Lonchura striata: one gene and its partner. The protein of the gene in region 1 purifies or fractionates together with the protein of each later gene. This does not show direct contact. Links are inferred from orthologs where the notes say so. Each region holds a gene or a part of one and is shown on either strand. Other genes may lie near its edges.

What was found. The genes of interacting proteins can lie anywhere in the genome.
Region 2: the proteins of SIRT6 (region 1) and G3BP1 purify together in Homo sapiens (affinity purification with mass spectrometry; 3 studies listed by BioGRID and IntAct, with this or other methods). This does not show direct contact. The link is inferred for Lonchura striata from reciprocal best matches to the Homo sapiens genes SIRT6 and G3BP1.

The regions. Positions count from the first base shown.
Region 1 is NC_134630.1:6,748,111-6,755,625, forward strand, and holds the start of SIRT6 (NAD-dependent protein deacylase sirtuin-6), read left to right. Parts: upstream 1-4,452; 5' UTR 4,453-4,483; coding exon 4,484-4,549; intron 4,550-5,886; coding exon 5,887-6,014; intron 6,015-6,277; coding exon 6,278-6,460; intron 6,461-7,515. Other genes in the region: ANKRD24 (ankyrin repeat domain-containing protein 24), read right to left, coding at 1-129, 1,093-1,164. UniProt on the Homo sapiens protein: NAD-dependent protein deacetylase, deacylase and mono-ADP-ribosyltransferase that plays an essential role in DNA damage repair, telomere maintenance, metabolic homeostasis, inflammation, tumorigenesis and aging.
Region 2 is NC_134617.1:6,071,451-6,079,038, forward strand, and holds the start of G3BP1 (ras GTPase-activating protein-binding protein 1), read right to left. Parts: upstream 3,044-7,588; 5' UTR 2,925-3,043; intron 1-2,924. Other genes in the region: copper transport protein ATOX1, read left to right, coding at 5,111-5,116, 6,684-6,759. UniProt on the Homo sapiens protein: Protein involved in various processes, such as stress granule formation and innate immunity. Plays an essential role in stress granule formation.

The DNA of each region.
Region 1 (7,515 bases):
GGATTTGCCCTCCGCGTCCAGCTTGGTGGGCACCAGGCCCTTGCGGAGCAGGAGCGACGTGACCCGCCCGGCATCGTTGTAGTCCACGGCCTGCAGCAGCTTCTCGTCGTTCTTGGTCCAGTCCTGGCTCTGCAACAGGGCCCAGAGGAGGCTGTGACAGTGTCAGCTGTGACAGTGCTGTCCCCAGGGCTGGGCTGGGCTGGCTCTCCTTGTCCCCAGCCCTGTTGTGCCCCTTCCAGCCCTGTCCCTGGGGGTGGCCGTGTCTGTCCCCCTCTCCTCCGAGCTCACTCCCAGGTACGGAGAGTTCAGCAGGGATTGGGATGAAAATCCCCTCCAGTCCCCCAGTTTGCAGCTCACAGAGTGGGGGATTTACAGACACAGCCCAGTTTAGCTGTGCCAGGCTGGGATTTGGGACTGAGCCCAACTGTACAGGGGTTTGCCCCTGCCACCCTGAAATCCCAGTACTAAACCCAGTCAGAACCCATGGGAGTCCCATTCCCAGCCCTGCTTTGCTCCCGGAGGAGGAAGGGATCAAACCAGGGCGAGCACAGCTGGCAGCGAGAGCAGATCCCCAGGGATGCCCCAGCCTCCCGGGATAACGGGGCACAGCGCTGTGCCCCCCAAAACAGGACCGCAGCTGGCTGGGATTTGCTCTCCCGGTGCTCCCTGTCCCGAAGGAGGACCCGCAGTGGGACAGGACCAGGACAGGGACTGCAAGTCCCGGGTTCACCCCACAGCCCGTGACGACAAAGCGGCGCTGGCTGCGCTCGCGGTGGCAGGAAATGGATGTCACCTTTCGGGAGCCGCTGGCACCTGTCCCAAACCCGCCTGTGCCCGCCGGGTGCCCCCGAGCCCCTCCAGCCCGGTGGGACCAGGCACAGGGAGCAAACCAGTCTCCCAGGGCTCCTGGCAAACTGGGAGGGTGGTGCCCGCTCCCCCCACTCCCTGGCCAGGCAAGGACAAAGCAGGATGGGGAGGACACGGGGAGCCCCGGGATGGGGATGGGGATGTGGGGTGCAGGTGGGGCGGGGGGGACACGGCTCAGCCCGCGGGACGCGAGCAGAGGGGAGCCGGGAGGGGAGCGGGACGTACCGCGAAGGAGGCGGCGGCACAAAGGCAGATCTGCTTCATGGTGCTGAGCAGGAGGCGGCGGGAGGACGCCATGCGCCCCCCGCTCCCCGCCCCGGCCGGCACGGGCACCCCCGAGCCCGGAGCGCTCCGGCATCGCCGCCCGGGCGGGGGCCGGGGCTGCGGCAGTGGGAGCCGGACCCGCCTCCTCCGCCCCCGGCCCTCCCTCCTTCCCTCCCTCCTCAGCGCATCCCTGCATCCCTGCATCCCTGCATCCCGCCTCGGAGCGGCTCCCAGGCAGGGCTGAGCATCCTGAGCATCCTCCCGGCCCCCGATGGGGGGACCTGGGACCCCCCAAACACCTCCAGGGAGGAACCCCGAAACGCAGAGGGTCCCCAGACGCTGTCCGGGCAGTCCCGCTGGCAGCAGGACATCGGGAGCCTTTCAGGGACGTGTCCAGGGCAGTGTGGGGAAACTGAGGCATGGAGCGCCCCGAGCAGGATGGTCCCACAGACTCCGGGTGAGGGGCTTCAAGCTGTGTCCCCATGTCCCCTGCTGTGTCCCTCCCAGTGCACTGGGGACAGCGCTGTCCCCCTCTGCCCTCTGCGGCCCCATGCCAGGCTGCTGCTGAATAATTGAGGAGCATCGACAGGCTGGTTCCACGGGCTGTGGCAGCTGGCAAAGTGGCACTTGTCCCCAGGAGGGGGACAGGGAGGGGACCTGGGATCTGCTTCCCTCTCCTTTGCTCTGCCCCACTCCCAGCGATGGCTCTGGGAGCACAGGGGGTGCACTGGGGGCTTGATCCCACCAGCCAGAGTGGCAGTGCCAACTTCTGTAGGACTGCTGTCCCCGTTGTGAGCGACCACTCCGTGTCCCAGGGCAGGTCCCCGTGTCCCCACAAACACCCTGGAGCAGGTCACCGTGTCCCCACAGACACCCTGGAGCAGATCCCCGTGTCCCCACAGACACCCTGCAGCAGGTCACCGTGTCCCCATGTCCCCAGGGATGGCACTCACATCTGCCTTCTTGAACTTGGCCTTCAGGCTCTTCATGGTGGCTCAGCCTCAGCCCCGTGGCAGCTGCTCGGGAGGGATGGCCACGCTCCAGGAGGGTCTGTCCCTGCCTGGGGACAGCTCAGCGCCCCCGGTCCCGCTGCTCCCAGCCCGTCCTGGCGTTCCCAGCGCAGCGCCCGCAGCCGGGAACCGGAGCCGGGGATTGTATTACGGCCGCGGCTGCGGTTACAGCCCCGGGCAGGCGGGGGGGGGCCGGGCCGGGCCGTGTTTGGGGACAAGGGACACGGCCTGGGGTGCTGGGGAGGGCTGGGCTCTGATGGTTGGCACCCCTTGCCCATCCCAAACACCCCCCGCCCTTGGTGGCACCTCTTGTCCTGACCTGACATCCCCTTCCCCACCCTGGCAGCCCCTGGTTCTGACAGCACCTCGTGTTCTTGTCAGCATCCCCTGCTCCTCCCTGGCACCCCTGTCCTTCCCTGGCACCCCTGCTCCTCCCTGGCACCCCTGCTCCTCCCTGGCACCCCTGTCCTTCCCTGGCACCCCTGCTCCTCCCTGGCACCCCTGTCCTTCCCTGGCACCCCTGTCCCTCCCTGGCACCCCTGTCCTTCCCTGGCACCCCTGTCCTTCCCTGGCACCCCTGCTCCTCCCTGGCACCCCTGTCCCTCCCTGGCACCCCTGTCCTTCCCTGGCACCCCTGTCCTTCCCTGGCACCCCTGCTCCTCCCTGGCACCCCTGCTCCTCCCTGGCACCCCTGTCCTTCCCTGGCACCCCTGTCCTTCCCTGGCACCCCTGCTCCTCCCTGGCACCCCTGCTCCTCCCTGGCACCCCTGTCCTTCCCTGGCACCCCTGCTCCTCCCTGGCACCCCTGTCCTTCCCTGGCACCCCTGTCCCTCCCTGGCACCCCTGTCCTTCCCTGGCACCCCTGTCCTTCCCTGGCACCCCTGCTCCTCCCTGGCACCCCTGTCCTTCCCTGGCACCCCTGTCCTTCCCTGGCACCCCTGCTCCTCCCTGGCACCCCTGTCCCTCCCTGGCACCCCTGTCCTTCCCTGGCACCCCTGCTCCTCCCTGGCACCCCTGCTCCTCCCTGGCACCCCTGTCCCTCCCTGGCACCCCTGTCCTTCCCTGGCACCCCTGCTCCTCCCTGGCACCCCTGTCCTTCCCTGCCATCCCGGCCTTTGTCAGCACGCCCTGTCCTTCCCTGGTAGCCACTGCTCTGCCCTGGCACTCCTGCCCTTGCCAGCACCCCCTGTCCCTCCTTCCTTCCTTCCTTGGCATCCCCTGCTCTTGGTGGCACCTCTTGTCCATCCCTGGCACCCCTGCCCATCCTGTGTCCCCCCGGGCAGGGGTTCAGTGCAGGTGGGGCAGTGTCCGGCAATGTCGGGGCAGTGCCAGGGCAGTCCCGGGCAGTCCCGGGGCAGTGTTGGGTCAGTCCCGGTTCAGTCCCGGTCACTCCGGTCAGTCCCGGTTCAGTCCCGGTCACTCCCGCTCAGTCCCGGGTGGTCCCGGGTCAGTCCCGGTTTAGTCCCGGTCACTCCTGGTTCAGTTCCGGGCAGTCCCGGGTCAGTCCCGGGTCAATGTCGGGGCAGTGTCCCGCAGTCCCGGTCACTCCCGGTCAAGTCCCGGGCGGTCCCGGTTCAGTCCCATGTTACTCCGGGTCAGTCCCGGTCACTCCCGGGCGGTCCCGGGTCACTCCCGGTCAGTCCCGGTCGGTCCCGGCCGCGCTGAGGGCAGTCCCGGGTCGGTCCCGGGCGGTCCCGGGTCAGTCCCGGTCACTCCCGGTCGGTCCCGGGTCAGTCCCGGTCAGTCCCGGGTCAGTCCCGGTCACTCCCGGTCGGTCCCGGGTCAGTCCCGGTCAGTCCCGGGTCACTCCCGGTCACTCCCGGTCGGTCCCGGGTCGGTCCCGGGCGGTCCCGGGTCAGTCCCGGTCACTCCCGGTCGGTCCCGGGTCAGTCCCGGTCAGTCCCGGGTCACTCCCGGTCACTCCCGGTCGGTCCCGGGTCAGTCCCGGTCAGTCCCGGGTCACTCCCGGTCACTGCCGGTCGGTCCCGGGCGGTCCCGGCCGCGCTGAGGGCAGTCCCGGGTCAGTCCCGGTCAGTCCCGGGTCACTCCCGGTCACTCCCGGTCGGTCCCGGGTCAGTCCCGGTCAGTCCCGGGTCAGTCCCGGTCGGTCCCGGGCAGTCCCGGTCGGCCCCGGCCGCGCTGAGGGCAGCCCCGCCCTGCCCGGCTCCAAGATGGCGGCGGCGGCGCGGGGCGGCCCCGCCCTGCCCGGCTCCAAGATGGCGGCGGCGGCGCAGGGCGGTCCCGCGGCCCCGCCCTGCCCGGCTCCAAGATGGCGGCGGCGGCGCGGGGCGGTCCCGCGGCCCGGCCCCTCCCGGCTCTTCCGCCGCGCGGCGGCCGCGCCGATGGCGGTGAGCTACGCGGCCGGGCTGTCCCCGTACTCGGACAAGGGCAAGTGCGGCCTCCCCGAGGTGAGCGCGGCACCGCCGGGGCCGTCCCCGCCCGCCCGGGGCAGCCCCCGCCCGCCCGCCGGGCCTCCCGCGGGCCCGCCGCGTCCCCATGGCAACCGCGGCCTCGGGAACCCAGCGGGCACCGAGCCCGCCGTGTGTCCCGAGCGCATCCCGCGGCTCCCTCCCCGTCCCCCTTCCCTGGGTGCCTGTCCCCGACACCCCATGGCTCCCTGGTCCCCCTCATGTCCCCCCAGGCCGCCCCCGGCTCCCTCGGCCCCTCTCTGTGTCCCCTTCCATGTCCCTTCTCCATGTCCCCTTCCATGTCCCTTCTCCATGTCCCCTCTCCATGTCCCCTTCCATGTCCCCTTCCATGTGTCTTCTCCATATCCCCTCTCCATGTCTCCTCTCCGTGTCCCCTTCCATATCCCCTCTCCTTGTCCCCTTCCATGTCCCCTTCCATTTCCCCTCTCCATGTCCCCTCTCCATGTCCCTTCTCCATTTCCCCTCTCCATGTCCCCTTCCATGTCCCCTCTCCATGTCCCCTTCCATGGCCTCCCTGACCCCACCCTGGTCCTTCCTTCTGCCCCCACAGCCCCCTTGGCTCCCTCCGTGTCCCCCCTGAGCCCCAGCAGTTTGGGAAGCCTAAAACGAGGTTTGAGGGGAGCCACAGGGACACTGCAGCCCGTCCTGAGCCCAGGGGATGGTGAGGGGACAGGGACACACAGGGTCCTGTCCTCGTCCCCGTCCCCAGAGATGGGGCTGGAGAAGTGTCTCAGGAATTAAATCCCGTGCCCAAACCAGCATCTGGTGTCCCTCGCTGTCCCTCGGCCCTGCCCTGTCCCCAGAGCTGGTGGCACTGCTGGTGACAGTGGGGCACATGTGGGGTGGCCCCGGGTGGCTCCTGGAGCCCAGCCTGGGCCAGCTGCCAGCCAGAGCAGCAAACTCCCTGTTGGTGCTGGGAGTTCCCAGCCCTGTCCCTGCAGCGAGATGCTCCAGGCAGCGTGGAGTCTCTCCTATTAAATGTTTCTGTCCTTAAGGAATGCAAAATCATTCATGGATAAGGAAGAATTGTGGGTTACTGGGCTTCTAGAATCATGGAATCCCAGAATGGTTTGGGTTGAAGAGACCTGAAGGATCATCCAGTGCCACCCCTGCCATGGCAGGGACACCTTCCACTATTCCAGGTTGCTCCAAGCCCTGTCCAGGCTGGCCTTGGACATCCCAGGGATCCAGGAGCACCCACAGCTGCTCTGGGAAATCCATTCCAGCGCTTCCCCACCCTCACAGGGAAGGATTCCTTCCCCATATAATCCATGCCCACATCTCTCCATCCCATGCTGGTTTTTGTGTTTTCCCAGATTTTTGACCCTCCGGAGGAGCTGGAGCGGAAGGTGCAGGAGCTGGCAGAGCTGATCCGGAGCTCCTCCCATGTGGTGTTCCACACAGGAGCAGGGATCAGCACGGCCTCGGGCATCCCTGACTTCAGGTAAGTCCGAGGGCTGGCAGGGTGGCACCTCCTCCAGGTCCATCTTCCTTCATGGAAAGCTCTGATTTATCCCAGACCCGCCCCATTCCTGCTGTCCGTCCTGGATCCAGCTGCAAACACCATTTTCCCTCTTGCACATCTCAGCTGTTGCCACAGAATCCCCACATTGTTTGCATCAACCCCCAGAATCCTGCTGATCCATGAGCTCTGCTCCCATGGATGGGGCACCTGGAGCCTGAGCTCTCCCTTCCTGCTCTTTCCAGGGGTCCCAATGGTGTCTGGACTATGGAAGAAAAAGGGCTCTCCCCAAAATTCGACACCACCTTCGAGAATGCCAGGCCCTCCAAGACTCACATGGCGCTGCTGGGGCTGCAGAGAGTGGGAATCCTGAAATTCCTGGTCAGCCAGAACGTGGACGGCCTGCACGTGCGGTCAGGATTCCCACGGTACCTTCCCAGCCCCACACGGGGGGTTTCATTCCCAAGGAATCTCTGCCCTCTCTGATACAGGGAGTGGAAGCTGGAAAGGGATAAACCAGCTGGAATTTAGAGGGGAGAGGTTCTGGTGCTGTTCCAGAGGGTCTTGGAATCAAATCAGCCTTGGATGTTGCTGTCTAGAAATGTTTCCAGGTGCTGTTTGTGCATAGAAAAAACAGAGATTATGGAATTATGGAATCCCAGAATGGTTTGGGTTGGGGGGCACCTTAAAGCCCATCTCATTCCCCTGTGCAGGTGTCTGTGCAGGGCCAGGGGTTGAACTCAGTGATCCTTGTGGATCCCTTCCAGCTCAGGATATTCTGTGATCCCTGGGAGCAGTCAGGGCCAGGCTGGATGGGGTTTGGAGCAGCCTGGGACAGTGGGAGGTGTCCCTGCCCGTGGCAGGGGGGTTGATCTTTTAAAGTCCTTTCCAACCCAACTCATTCTGTGATTTTATGAGTCAGGATGTGAGTGAGGAGCATCCATGTGTCCTTGGAGAAGGTGCCTCTCACAAACACCTTCAGCCAGAGCTGCCTCCAGGGCATTTCCTGTCATTACAAGCCCCAAGTCCTGGGCCCTGCTCCCAGCCCCTTGTTTGTCTGTTTAATCCAAACAACCATGGGAAAAGCAGTAGGGAATGATCACAGAATTCCATGGTGCTCCCACAGCCTGGAGCCACTGGCTCCTGTTCAGTTCAGCCCAGCTCTGCCTCCCAAGTGAAACCTGTGCTTGAGGAAGCTGAACTGGGGCCAAACTGGGGGAAATCAAGTCAGTCCTGTCTCACGCAGCCTGGAGGAAGTTCCCAGTGAGCGTGGGGCTCTGAGGAAAATAGGGAGAGCATGGCTGCGTCTTCCTCTGGCTTCTGCTCTGAGCCTGAGGGGGATTTTAGGAAAAACAGGTGTCAGAGGGCTGGAAGAGCACAGGGACAGACAGGAATGTTGGGTGCTGGAGAAACAAAGATCTGGGTGCTCCCAGGAGCAAAGATTTGAGTAGGTCAGGAGCTGCAACCAGATGGAAACACTGAA
Region 2 (7,588 bases), on another chromosome or scaffold:
TGTAAAGAGAATCAACTCTTTCACCTCTACCCACTTAGGTCACAGAAGATGCTTAAACTTGATGTTTCAGCTGTATCCTGGCACTCGGGACTGACCCATCCCTGCACTGTTACATTAAAAACAAAACACAACCAGCCCAGCAGCAGCCAGGAGACAGCACAGGGCAGAGCAGATGGAAATGGAAGATGGGCACCAGCATTTTCCAGTGCAGTGCTGCACATTTGCCTCAGCACAGATCACTCCTCCATGACTGGCAGCAGCCAGGCTCCTGCTCCCAGAGCTGCACTGCACCAGCCGTGTCTTCCTGGAAGAGCTCCAGACTTTATATAGCAGAACTGGGACCTCGAGCCAGCACAACTCTCACTGCCTGCAAAGTTTAAGGATTCTTTTACAGTACCTGAGGATCAGACTTCAGTTTTCCTTTTTAATTACTCAATGAGGTAGCTTAAGGTTATCAATCAAGTCTACTATTAGTAGGTGTACCCCAGGAAATCAAATAATTACTTCAAGTCTGCAGATTTTATATAGGAACCTGTAAAAAAAAAATCATCCAGTCTTCTACAGCAAACTAGCACTTTTAGTTTGTTCCAAGCAGAGCAGACCACAGCCAGCACAGAAACTAGCACCACCCTGCTGAAGCCCTGCTCTGCTCAGATTTCCTCTTTGAGTCTTCAGTCATCACCTCAGTCAGACAAAAAGGCCCAGGTGCTAATATTAAAAACTAAAATAGTGTTTTCTAACAGGCCATTTATGCCAACCTTATGAGTGCTCTCTCATCAGGTCCTACTGTTTTGAACAGAATTACCAAGATGTACTCAAAAGCAACATCACCTTTGCTTTATTTTCCTTTCAGTAAAAAGTATTGCTCTGTATGTTTCCCTTACAATTTGCAGGGTGAAAAACAAAGCTCTGAAACAAATAATTTGCATAAAGATTCTGTCTAAAATTCAGATGTTCAAACTCCATCAGTTGTGTTGAACTCTACTGATGATGCTGTTGTGCCAGCACCAGAGTGAGCAGCAGAGCAGTGGTCCTGCCATCACAGCACAAACAAATCCTCTGGTCTGCTTTTGTTTTTTCTCAGACTCCAAATGCAAAGATTCCCAACAGAATCTCCTGATGGGCTCGGCACACATAGACTAAGTCCTGTCCACCAGGTTTCCTACTTTAATTTTAATTATGCTTCCCTGCCTTCAACTTAAGGAGTTCACACTTAACACAACCTAGCAAGAAAAAAAGGTAAATTCACACCAGTCAGGAACTGGGGCCATTCTTTACCTCCTGATGTATACAAGCTTAAGGTTTTTTAAAATATTTAAGATTTATAGAATTATGATATACTTTTGCAAAGGTACCAGGACTGATTTTTTTTTTTTTTTTTCCTAACAGACTTTGTACAATTACACTTTCTTCAGGTTTTAGTAGCGCTTTTCAGGCAAACCAGTCCCTGCAACATGTGATGCTGTCAAAAAAGGTCGTGAGATCTCCATCATGAAGATAAGGATGTAAGACTTCAAGCACGTGAATACTTCCAGCCAACCTTCAAATTAGCTACATATACTATGCAAAAAAAAAAAAAAAAAAAATAGATTCACAACTTTTTACATCATTATATATGGTGACTGAAACATCCCAGGAAAGGTGAGTTCAGTTCACAGGATGAGAAGATGCTAGCATCAGCACCATGGAAGTATCACAGAGCTATCTAGAAAAATGGTTTGGCTTATTCCTTACCAGACAGAGAAGAAAAAAAGTGAAAATCTGGTCAAAGGGAAAAATATCAGGAAAGGTCTGAAATGCAGTTTTTGTCTGTCAACTTCTGCATTTCCCTTTATGACATCAATATAATAAGCTTTGTTACCTAAAAAAAAAAAAAAAAATCCAACACACCCCTCCCCACGTTTGATTTATGGCATCTGGAAGCATCAGCTTCCGAAGCTTGATAGCAGTGTCCAGATTTCCTAAATCTGTCACTCCTGGCTGTGAGAGCAGGGGCTTGCCAAAAATAGCACACACTGGAAACATGGCGGCTTGCTGCAAAAGCTGCTTTCCCTCCGACGGTGGAACAAAAAAATCCTTTTTTTGGTAAAGACTACTTATTACGTTCATGCAAGCCTTAACATAGAAGGTCACCAGGTAAGCCCGCTGAGAATTAGGAACGCGGTAGAACATCCAGATCAACACCAGGCGCTACTGGAAGATGTAGCGAAACCTTTTCTCTGGGGTTTCTCCAGCACGTACATCTGGGGCCTTACAGGATGCTGGAAAGTCTCATCACAAGCAGTACTTCGCATTTAAAGCTTGGCTTAATCTCGGATTCAGCCAAGGTCATGCGGTAAACCAGGTTAAGATCCATGCTCTCCTGCTCCTGAATTTTAACTTCCTTTACCTATAAAGTTATACCCAGGGAGGCACCTGGAGGTGTTACCCAGGTCCGGGCCGTGCGAGCAGCCAGCGCTGCCCCTCAATCCGCAGCCAGCGTTCCCCGCTAACCGGGCACACCTCGGGCTTCGGGTGGGCTCCTCCCCGGCCCCACCTGCCCAAAACTAAACCCAAAACCTGCGAGCGAAGGAGCATCCGAGCCTGGAAACCCGAGAACAAAGCTGGCCCCGCACACCTCGCCGCGCACAATGCGGGCCCGCCGGCGGCCGATCCCCCGCCGCCCCCCTGCCCCGCCGCCGCACCGGGAGCTGGGGCGGAGGCTGCGGAGCGCACGGGGGCCGCGGCACGGCGCCGGCGGCCGCCACAAAGCGCGGCGGGAGCGGGCGGGATGGAGGGGGAGGAGGCGCCAGCAGCGCCGTCCCGCACGGCCCGCGGCCTGCGGAGCGCCGGGGGCGCCTCGGAGCGGGGCGCTGCGTGCGGCCCGCGGGCCCCGCGCCAAGGCGCTGCCGCGCCGGTGCCTCCCCGCGCCGCCACCCCCTCACCTGCGGCAGAGCGGGACGGGAGCGGAGGCGCCGCTTCACCAAAGAGCCCGGCGGACGAGAAGCGCCTCACGCAGCGGCGTGCTCGGCCCCCCGCTACATATATCCGGCGCGCAGCCTACCCCAGCGGGCGCGGCCCAGCCAATCAGACAGCGCCGCTCGCCCTCATTCGGATGCCGGTTGGCTCGCGGCCGTGAGGAGGCGGGCGGAGCGCTGAGGGGCAGCACAGCCAGCCAACCATGCCGCAGCGCTCCGTGGGGCCGTGAGAGTGATTGACAGGCGGGCGAACCAATGAGCGGTGGGCAACTGCTGATAGACTTGCGCTTTGGCCAATGGGACGACGCGCGGCGGGCGCCGCAGTGTGGTTGAGCCGCACTGCAGCGCCCTTGAGAAGGTGCTGGTAAACCCCGTTATAGATGGGGCGGGACCCGCGGGGGGCGGTGGCCAATGGGAGAGCGCGGCGGGCGCTGACGGACAGGTCCCAGCCGCGGTTCTTAAAGGGGCAGGCGGGCGCCAGGCGGGGCGGCGTCCCGCGCTCCGCAGCGCGCCCTGCTGGAGCGAGGCGGGCGCCGGCATGGCGGCGGGCGCCGTGCGGGGTGAGGGCGCAGGCAGCGCTCCCAGCAGTGAACAGGCAGCGGCCGCCCGCTTCGCTGTGTCTGCACAGGCTGCGTGGGGCTCGCCTGTCCCACGCACTGAGAGAAACCCCCAGTTTCTCGGGAGCCGAGGCACCACCACACCCAGAGCCGGGGTGGTCAGTGGTGGTCACTGACCCTGCCCATCACGGCAGGCTCGTCCAGCTGCTGCTTCTCCCTCACAGCTTCTGAGCAAAGCACGCTCAGCATGATCTGCCCCAGAGGAAAGATAATGCATGCGGGAGCGTTTTCTAACACGCCTACAAAGGAGGAAGGCCTGGAAGTTCTCAGATCGTTCTGCTCACCAGCAGCTGCTGGTCCAGGCACCCCGGCGAGCAGGAGGGAATGGGAGCAGGCAGCGAGCCAGAGCAAAGCAGCTTCCAGGCAGCCACAGCTCTCCATTTGACTGTGCCACATCCCACCCCACACGTATCTACGACATGAAGCACTCAGAGACAGATTTCACCCTACAAAAATGACTTCCTGCCCACCGCCGCATCCCTGAGCGCTGCCTGAACCCCTCCCTGCCGTGCCTCGCAGCAAGGGACAGGGCACGGGCGTGGGGACACGCTCCGCAGTAATGTCCTCCCCCAGTACCTCCTCGCTATCTTTAGACTAAGCCACGCTGCAATCCGCCAGTTCATAAATCAGCGCTGCAGACTTTTACAAAGTTTAACGTGAGCCCAGCACAACAACCCGCCCCGAATAAACTCTGCCAAGGGGATCTTGGACATCCCTCTGCAGAGCAATAGCGGGGCAGGGAATTCCTCTTTTATAAAACCATCGGTACAGCAGCAGTATCCTGTGCACCTCAAAAGAAATGCCCTGACCCCCAGCTGGTGAGGCAGAAAACAAGAAACAGCAGGTTACATTCCCTGCTACAGGCTGGGCTTCTCAACGGGAAGATGCTGAAACCCAGCACGTGTTCGGGAAGTGTCACACGCACCACAGCTCTGCCAGCTCTTCTCAGCCCTGATGTGATGCTCTGTCCCCTCTCCAGCTTCCTTGTGAAAGCTCCTCAGCTGCTCCCGGGTACTCCACCTTGCCTCGAGTTTTTTTTTAGAAAGGGGCTTAATTTTCCTTTAAAGGACCATAGAGCCAGGGAAGAAAAAAAAAAAATTAATAAATAAATAAAAAGAAAGCAGACACATCTTCAGGGACCAGAATCCTTTTCCGCCGTCAATATCCATTCTACCCGAGCTCTCCCAAGCCAATGAATCTCAAAATCTCAAAAGACGAACAAGCTTTCTTCAGCAGCCCGGCCCCATCCTCACGGCTCTCCCCACCTCCCTCCCGCAGCCATTTCTCCGTGCCGATCCCTAGCCTGGAAGCGAGCAGAGCTCCCGTTTCGGAGCTCCACACGGACCAGCTCCCCCCCACTCCTTCCCTCGCCCTCGGCGGCATCCCCGCCTCCCGAGGCACGGCCCGCCCCTTCCTCCGCGCCGCGCCCGCCGCCGCGCCCGCGGATCCGGGACCGCGGAGCCGGGATCGGGGATCGGGGAGCCGGGATCCGGGATCGGGGAGCCGGGATCCGGGATCGGGGATCGGGGCTCCGCCATGCCGGTGGGTGCGGGGCCCGAGCGCTCTGCGGGGCCGGGGACGCGGCGGGGCGGCGGGGCAGGAGGGCTCTGCCCGCTACCGGGGGCGGCGCGGGGCTCCCGCGACCCTCGGAGCTCCCGCAGTCCCCGAGGTTCCCCAAACCCCGGGGCTCTTTCAGCGCCCCGCGCTCCCCAATCCCCCGAGGCTCTCCCAGCCCCTCGGGGCTCCCCCAAACCCCCCGACTGTCCCTGTCCTCGAGGCTCCCCCAAACCTCCAGAGTTCCTCCTGTGCTCGCTGCTCCCCTGGTTCCCCAGGGCTCCCCCAGCCCTCCAAAGCTCCCCCAGTCCCCCAAGGTCCGCCAGATCCTGCAGGTCCCCCAAACTCTAAAGCTCCCCCAGATCCTGCAGCTCCCCCAGACTCTTAAGGCTCCCCCAGATCCTGCAGGTCCCCCAAACTCTAAGAATGCCCCAACCCCCCAAGGTCCCCCAAATCCTGCAGCTCCTCTGAACACCAAGGCTCCCCCAGATGCTGCAGGTCCCCCAAACTCTTAAGAATCCCCCAGCCCCCCAAATACTGCAGCTCCTCCAAACCCCAAGGCTCCCCCAGATCCTGCAGGTCCCCCAAATTCCGAGGCTCCCCCAGTCCTGAACTCGCCCAAACCCCAGGCCGCCACCAACTCCCAGGGCTCAGACACAGAAGGGAAGCATTGATGGGACCCTCCTTCCCCGCTGCTCACACATTTCCCCAAAGCACTCAGGGCCTTTGGGAAATAAAACCAAAGAAAATGGTAATTACACTGAAAAAAACCTAATGGCAATCTCTATCCCAAGCTCCTTCCTGGGTGAATGATCCCAAGAGGGTTTTGGCTTTGTAGTGGCAGGGGGCACAGGATGGTTCTGAATAGAAGGAAGTATGGGTTGCAAATAACAAATGCACAATAGTTTTACTTTTCTTTTTAAAGGAAAGTAAAAAGCATGTGCGAGAGAAGGAAATTAGGACCTATCTGGTGCCAAAGGTTGAAGGTGGTGGTTAGTTACAGACAAACAACGTTTTGTTGACCCAGTGTTGCTCTCACAAGTAGTAAAGATATTGCTGGGGCCCGAGTGGAGGGATGAAAAAACAGCACTAATGGCCCTTAAATTTCTGGTTTGCTTTTATTTTTGTTATGTTGGGGACCAGAAGCCCTGTAGATGGAAGAAGAAAAAGATGGGGAAGCACTGAAAACCTCACAGACTTAAGTCAGAACAGCGAGTAGCTGGAAGCAGGAGATTTGCTTCTCCTTGGGTCCCCTGGACAGGATGAGTAAGTCCAGCACAGGCCATGGAGATGGCCGTTTGTACTGACTGTGGAAGTGGCCACACAATCTCCAAAGGCCCATCAGGATTATGCTGTGGGGGACAGCACAAGGACACCACAGGGGGCAGTACCAAGAGTTCTCAGTTTTGCTGAGGACCTCTTAGTGGTGTGCATATGGACCTTTAGACTTGAGAGACTTTGAACCTCTCCAAGGGAAAAAGGAAAGTGTGGAGTGTTCATGGTGCATTTCCAGCTGTGCTCCCCTGGACCCCTCACCTGCCTCTTTTCTTTCCAGAAACACGAGTTCTTCGTGGACATGACCTGTGAGGGCTGTTCCAATGCGGTCACCCGTGTCCTGCACAGGCTGGGAGGTGAGTCAGTGCTGGGTGTGCCACAGCCGGCTCCGGGGCAGTGCCCTGGGGTCCTCCATCCTGAAGGATAATGCTGTGGGTTAAAGTTGAAAGTTGGAGACTTGTCCTTGCTCTGCTCTGAGGCTGCTCCTTAGCTGGTAACAAGTGGCTGGTGGTTTGCAGGTCTGTGACTCTTGGAGAAGTGTCAAGGGAGGGAGGAGCTGCCGCAGGTGCAGGTGGTTCTGAGTCACCAGGGCCTCACCCTGAACCCTCTGGGAAGGACACTGGCAGTCCCCTGCCCAGGCTGCCAGAGGGAAGGGAGGTGAATGTCCTGCCTGGCCTTGTTTCCAGGGAGGCCTGGGGTGTCTGTGGTGCTTCCCCAGATGTGTCATCAGCAGTCACAGGGAAGAGCTGCTGAGCAGAGCGTTTGGTGGTTGTCTGTGTAGCCTATTTTTAATACCACCTGGAAAATTATAAAAATTACAACCCATTTCTTCTGTTTGCTGGCATTCCCAAGAAAGAAGGATCTGGCCTGCACTTGTTAGTTGTGAGAACCTGCTCCCTCTTAGGGAGAACAACTTCCAGCCACCAAGGCAGAGGCCTTGCAACTTCTTCCAGACCTCATTACCAGGCTGTGACAATTCCATTTTCTCTGTGTGTGGTTGTCAGTATCTCCATCACTCTTCAACAGGCTGGCCAGTATCAGCCTCCTGTGATGATGAGGCATAGCTCCCAAAGTTGATGTATACCTACGGGTTTTGTGAAAATACATAACTGGATAGAGACTGCATGTCCAGTTCTTCTCACTGGGATGAGTGTCTCACCTTCGTTAGGCACTGGGAAATCCACA